Arabidopsis thaliana: one gene and its partner. The protein of the gene in region 1 purifies or fractionates together with the protein of each later gene. This does not show direct contact. Each region holds a gene or a part of one and is shown on either strand. Other genes may lie near its edges.

The links. Proteins that work in one complex are often made in the same cells at the same time.
Region 2: the proteins of AT3G49080 (region 1) and SSR16 fractionate together in Arabidopsis thaliana (co-fractionation; one large-scale study listed by BioGRID). This does not show direct contact.

Annotation. Positions count from the first base shown.
Region 1 is NC_003074.8:18,194,955-18,198,554, forward strand, and holds the start of AT3G49080 (Ribosomal protein S5 domain 2-like superfamily protein), read right to left. Parts: upstream 1,831-3,600; 5' UTR 1,704-1,830; coding exon 1,025-1,703; intron 548-1,024; coding exon 107-547; intron 1-106. Other genes in the region: AT3G49100 (Signal recognition particle, SRP9/SRP14 subunit), read left to right, coding at 1,990-2,061, 2,253-2,321, 2,868-2,961, 3,268-3,344. UniProt on the Arabidopsis thaliana protein: Mitochondrial ribosomal protein required for central cell maturation. May work together with PIA2 in controlling female gametophyte development, possibly by regulating the expression of some mitochondrial proteins.
Region 2 is NC_003075.7:16,534,333-16,538,036, forward strand, and holds SSR16 (small subunit ribosomal protein 16), read right to left. Parts: upstream 1,893-3,704; 5' UTR 1,761-1,892; coding exon 1,628-1,760; intron 1,531-1,627; coding exon 1,485-1,530; intron 915-1,484; coding exon 752-914; 3' UTR 523-751; downstream 1-522. Other genes in the region: AT4G34630 (prostatic spermine-binding-like protein), read right to left, coding at 2,761-3,360.

The DNA.
Region 1 (3,600 bases):
TATGACCAAATCCTCTAGCTTAAGCATAAATCATACTTGCTAGTGTAAATAGAGAACTTTGGGACTAATCGTCGAAGAAAACGAAGTGATTGTGGAGAGGTTTTACCTGTAGTACCACCGCCTTTAACAGTGCACTTAATATCCCAACGACCCAAGGTTTTGGTTTCAGCAAGTGGGCGTAGAAGAGCAGCGCGATGATCAAGCATAGGGAAATAGACATCAAATTCTTTTTCATTAACTTGAAATTTTCCTTCCCCAGGTTGAATCCAAACACGTGCAATGCTACATTTTCTTCTTCCAGTTCCATAGGCTCTACCTGTTTCGTCAACTTGTCTCACCCGTGCTTTGGCAATGTCCTCTTGCATCTGGAGTTCTATCTCAGCTCTTGATGACTTCTTTGAACTTTTCTCACGACGCAGGTTTTCAATCTCAGTCAGAGGAGGTAATCCTTCGACCCCTTGGAAATCTTTCAAGGCTATTAAACTATCTAGCATTTCATCTGTTATACCTGACTTAGCAATAAGGTCTCCAAATGCTCGATCAGGACCTGCAATAGTAAGTTTCAAATCAATTACTCTACTTCTAGCGCTTGTTTTACTAGCAGCAGAATCCATTACCAATGTGATCAAAATAACAAATTCTTCAATTTATTGTGCTGAACATTGTTAATAGCAAAAACACATAAGCACTAAACTGTTCCTTAGCGTCAGTAAGCACAAAACTATCCACTTCAAACACAAGTCTTTCTACCCAAATGCTTATTCCTCTTCAACATCCGAGCTTACTCCAAAAACTATCATATCCTCCACTCAGCAAGCATGCCTATAAATAGATTGATTACACAACCTTTGCTACTTGACTTAACCCTCAAATCCAAATCTAACCTTAACAAGGAAAGTCATGAGATCAAATTTGCTACCCATTTGTCACTGCATTCCAAAACTAGACACATATCGAAACTACTGGTGCATTGCATATAAGATCAAAACTTAAGAATCAGCAAAACAAATTAAAAAAGTCTCACCCTTGATAACCTCAAGAAGCTCCTTCTCTTCCTTCTCAATCAACTCCTTCTTCACACGCTCTTCCTCCGCCATTTCCAAGCTATTCTCAAAGCTAAACGGCACTTCACCACCAGTATCAAACACAACTCCCTCCTCTTCCTCTTTCAAATTCCATGGCTTTGACACATCCCATTCATTAGATTTCACCTCTCCCCTGATTCCAAACCCATCCACCTCATCTCCTCCGCCACCAAACACAACTTTCTCCTCTCCCTCCTTCATATCCCATCTCTTAGTCTCCTCCCATTCATTACCCCTCCTCTCGCGACTAGTCTCAATCCCTTGACCTACTTCACCACCAGTATCAAACACAACTTTTTCCTCTTCCTCCTTTATATTCCATCTCTTAGGCTCCTCCGGCCATTTCCCCTCTCCACCAGGTAAACCAGATCCTGCAACTCCAGAAGAACCAAAAGAATCATCGGAAGAGAAAGGTCCAGACTTATCATCGTTTACTCCAGTGAAACTCCACGGAACATCATTCCGATTACGACCATTCCCGTCACCATTTCCTCCGCCGCCGCTACTGTTAGTCGAAAGCGGACGAATAAACGAAGAGAAGATCTGAGAATTTGATTTCGATGAAACTAGGGTTACGAAACGGAGATTCGAATGTCTAAGGAATAAACGAGAGAGCATGATGGTGAAGACGAACACTTGAGATTCACAGATTTGGGAGAAACAAAGTTGCAGAAGTTCGAAGAAGAACGGTTAGGGTTTTTCTTTTTAGAAATCTTAACACTAAGGAACCGGTTCGGTTTTAGTCGGTTTATTCCGGTTTGATCATCACTCAAATTTTTTTTCTTTCTTCTGAAAACACAAATAAAAAGCCGTCTTTTTGCTTCTCTGTTTCTCCGTCGAGTCTCCCGGAGATTTCATAGAATCCAATCGCCTCAAATCGAATCGCTAATCTAGTTGAATCAAGATGGTTTATATCGCATCGTGGGACGAATTCGTTGATCGATCTGTTCAGCTTTTTCGAGCTGATCCGGAATCTGTAGGTTAACTATTTTTTTGCTCTCCTCTTTCGATTTCACTATTTACGGTTGATTTTGAGATATTTGGATTGATTTATGGTAATTGAACATAGTTCCTCGATTTTTGTACTGGGAATTTTGGTAACCTTGATAATTGATTTGAATCAAGTCGTGTTGGTCGCAATCTAATGTTTCAATTGTTGTGGTGCAGACTCGGTATGTGATGAAGTATAGACACTGTGACGGCAAGTTGGTTCTTAAGGTTACTGATAACAAAGAGGTAATTTGACTGTGTCTAGTTTCTCTATGATCACTGCTTCTTTTGAGTTTATCTTATATAATAGTATGGAATTCAATATTTGCTATTGAAGTTGATATCTGATTCGTCGAGGTTTGATGGTATGATGCTTGGTTTGGAGAATGTAATTTAGGGTTCCATGATGATTGATTACTAGAGATATTGGTTTTTAGTTGAGTTTTCATCGTACCTTGTCGTAGTTATGTGGTTACTTTTGTTTTGGCTTGGTCAATGTGATTGCTAATAGGTTATGTTTTCGTACGTCTTGATGAATTTAACATGTCTTGCATGGCGATGTGTTAGATAAGCAGATCTAGTCCTCTCTTCAGAGCAATAGTTCTTGGTGGAGGTTGAAGTGTGATACTTTAGAACTCTTTAAGCTGGGCTGAGTTTTGATGTAAATCATTGTATCAACTTCTGTGGTTAACTAGATGTCCTTGTTGTAGTCTTCTTGTTTTCATTCTTGTCCATTCTTATTATGTGAAGTATATATATGATAGATTTATTTCTACTTTTCCTTTAACTTAGTGTCTCAAGTTCAAGACAGACCAAGCACAAGAAGCGAAGAAGATGGAGAAACTGAATAACATATTTTTCACCCTCATGGCCAGAGGACCTGATGGTAAAAATTTCATTTTCTGCATATCTAACTTAAAGAAAGAACATGCATCATCTATCTCTTAGTGTTTGAGAAAAAAACCTCCTTTGTTTTATTGAGCTATGAGGTTATTTCTATTATGAGACAATGTATCACATCGTCACCGGCTATTATTTTCTCAAAACATCGCTTTTCTCCTACCAATCTTGAAAGAATGGAACTTGAATGTGCATCATCTCACAACCTTTAAAAGGAAAGCTCCTTTTGTGCTGTGTAACATTGGGTGTATTATAGCTTACTTTGTTTATTTATGTTGGTTGTATAATGCAGTCGATCTCTCAGAAGTCACCGGGAAAGAACAGATGGAGACACAGCCTGCCAAGAAAGGAAGAGGAAGGAAGCAATAAGTCTCAAGATTTGTTTTCCGTTTGTCTTGGTATCAAGATTTTGATCCATTTTTGTTTGATATTTTGAGATGGTAGGGTTGTCAAGATTCGTTCTAAAGCTTACGACTTTTTTTTACACTTTGATCGATTAATCACTTTTGGATTAGCCTAAACCCAAAAGCTAACCTTTTTAACTTGGATTTTGAAAGTTGGCCAACTCCTTATAGCTTGATTAGTAAGAAGACTAAAGATAGTCTTTGAAAAGAGAAAAACACCT
Region 2 (3,704 bases), on another chromosome or scaffold:
GAAAGAGAGAATCTAATGGGATACGAAGCGAGAGATTTTGTTGGCCCAATAGAGCTGTAATGTCCCAAAGACACATCCTTTTTTCCATAACTATAACATTTTTATTAGAAGACCAATTTAGTTTGAAATAGATTATTGTCTAGTTACTAGTCTCTTGCATGTGTTTTTAACACATATAGACGATACAAATACATTTTGGCAGATATTGAAACCAAAAAGACGGAACAAAATTTTGAAGAGAAGCAATATAAGAGTTTCAGACCTATATGAGAATAAGAACTAATTTCAAGATCAACGAGATTATATAACTACTACCATGTAGAAGTAAAGATATACATAAAAGGTAAGAACGAGGTTCTAATGTCCAAGATCATATTCAGGCAGATAACTTTTTTTTTTTTTTTTTTTGAGCAAATATGGGCCTAATTCCTTTTTTTAGCATACAATCCAGATATTGAGAATGAATCTTATTTTTGAAAATATGGGCCTCTTACCAAAGCCTATTTAGTCTAAAGTGAGAATTGTTAAATGTAAAAAGGCATGCTCATATTAAAGAATAAAAATTCACCAAACTCTGTTGCAGAAAAGTCTTAACCAACATAACATTAAACTGCTTTCACATAGAAAGCAAAAGTCTTAAACAACATTACATTAACTCCTTTCACATAAACAGAAAAGTCTTAAACAACATTACATAAACTCCTTTCACACAGACACAAAAGGCTCTTTCTTGCTCAACGCATCAACACTCTTAGTTCAAGATTTCACCTGTAATGGGTGAAACATGTTGGCTCGTAGACTTCTGCCCATTTTTCGAACCGACCACTACCATAGGCTTTGGTGGTATCAAACCGGCCCTGAAAAGCATGCTTTCCACTGTGTCTGTTGGTTGAGCTCCAACAGATAACCAGTACCTGCATTATTCGAGTACCATAGAGTGAAAATCAATTTCTTTCAACAGTTGCACAAAATAAAAAAGAAGTTTAGTTAGACACCAAGAACTGTGTGGATTTAGACTTTTAAACCAGTCTAATCAAATCAATCATACAAGCAAAACCAAGCCTCACAGAAAACTTGCACCAGATGAAATGCATTAGGTGTAGAAACAACCAAACATGACTGAGAGAAGCAAATGAATTAAGGATTGTAGCCTTATGCAAATAGAGTTTTGGACACAGAATCAACAGAAAGCATCTCAATTTGTCACAATCTAAGCAATTAGGCAGCATCATTGTGGCAAGAACAAGTTTATGACCTTGCAGAATACTAAAGAGAATGAATTAAGATGATTAAAAGACAAACAAGAAAACACATTCATGAGGAATAATCAATCATATGGATAATGTCGAGAAAGAGACTCTTTAGTGTTTCAGTCTTATCAAACAATCATGAGTTTCACATCTAACTGGTGTCCTAAAATACTTGACACAATTATACAAGCAAACAGGAATATGAAGATGATAGAACAAGTAAAAAAAACATACTTGATTCTGTCGAATTTGAGGCTCACTCTATCCGCATCTTCTTTGCCTGAAGACGTACAAGTAGATTCATGATAGCAGAGACATTAGGAAGTGTTCAATTTTACTGAGAATTGAGAAATGTATATAGAGGAGAAATAACGAACCTTGGAGTGGATCATAAAAGCCTAACACCTCGATTTGTTTACCGTCCCTGCGCGATTTTTCATCGGCGACAACTACACGATAGAAGGGTCGGTGTTTACAACCAAGACGCGCGAGCCTTATCTTCACCGTCATCTCTGCTTGGAAATTGAGGTCTGAGAAGTGAGAAGAAAGAAGATAAGTAAAGGTTTTTATTTAAGCTGGTGGGTTTTGGCTTTTTCCCCTTATCTGTGTTCTCTTTCTTCTGTTACGATCGTTATTGATAAGATGGGCCATGTTGGGCCAGTTTACATTTTATCTCTTTATTCACATTAAGCCCATTAGATCTGCTATACGTTTCTTTTCGTGATTTGCTATACAGAAGTCACTTATCTAAAATCTCGGATTATCCAGAAATTCCAAAATATTCAATCAGCTTCCTGTCTTTAAGGATCTTCCTAAAAGAAATTGCTTCAAAATGTTCAATTTGAGAACACCAGCATCTTGTTATCGTATAGGTGTTTGACTGTTAGTAGAGAGATATACGAAGTCCATAGTGCATGCAACAAGTTAGATATAATAAAATAAAATAAAGTTATCTCCAGTCTCAACCACTCAGATGTCGAAATTCAGAGTGATGCGTACATCCTACGAGTATGACTTTTCAAACAACCACCAACATTCACAAAAATTGCAAAAGCTTCTACAAAGATAACCAAATTAACCACCACCAAACACAAACCTTCTTCCTGTTAAATCATTGCTACAGTTTAGCTGTCGTTTTCAATTCTAAGGTTCACACAAGATTAAACGAGCTCATCTATCAAGAGTTATTATGATCCATTCATCATCTTCTCCATTTCAACACTACAATTTGCTAACCCAAGATTCACAATCACAATCTGATCAACCAAATTAAAGAGCCATCAAAGAAAGCGATCAGTTAATGAACAATGAATCCTAAAATGCGAGTTATTTAATTTCCATCATGTACAATGAGATCTTCAGAAGCATCCGAATTACTTACTACTAAAGAGGAATTGAAATTGAACTAACAAATTTACACATCAATTAAACCCAGAAACTGAGAAATTCTACCGAGAGTTCTTGAAGAAACCATCCCATCGCCTTGTGAAACTTCGAAATCCCAACACAATCAGCACTTGAATTTCATGCCGAGACCATGCTTACCACGAACGATACCAGGCTTCAAAAACGGAGATATCTTCGAGGCATAGACCTTGGCGATTGCTCTTTTCCCCAGTTTCCTCATCCTTTGTCTCCCCACCTTCTTACTCACGCTACGCGGAACCAACTCTTCGTCAAGATCATACGAATCGTCGTACTCGCGATCTTCTTCGCCGTCGTCATTAACACTATCTCCGTACGTAATTCCAACAGAATAACCAGAACCTCCACCGAGAAACATCATCCGCTGCTGAGACCATCCAAGATCATTCTCATCAACTTCATCGCGAACGACATCATCGCCAACATCATCATCACCATCCAGATCCACGGCGAGATCACCACCGTCAGCAATAGGAATTATCTCATGCGGCGGAGAAATGACAGAGGGTGCGACAAAGGAAGCGTCGTCAAGAGATATGACGTCATCGTCGGAAAGACTATCGACGGAGAAAGAATCGTCGGAGAACTCGCCATCAGAAGGATTAACAACTTCCCAGAGATCGAGATCAACTTCTTGATCGAGAATGAGAGGAGACATGGTGATAACCCTAGATCGCTGCGCCATTTTCGAAATTGTGTGTTGTTTAGAGGTTGCTTCTTTGATTTTTCAAGACTGTTTGTTTTTGATAACCAGAGGAAGTTACCCTATTAATAGAGGCAAACCACCGAGTGTTATCTTGTGCTAATTGGTAGTTACACTGTTGAAGATACGTATTTACAACCAGTTATATGTTGCCACGTAAGGATTATTTTGCCACCTCAGCGTCGCCAGAAAGTTTGCCAGTAAATAAATAAGTGGACATGTAAATTTGATGTCGTACATTTATGATAATAAAAACTAAAAAGATACCTTTTCTTCCATTTTTTTAGAATATACCTTTTTTTCCTTTCAACATCTATAATTTGATC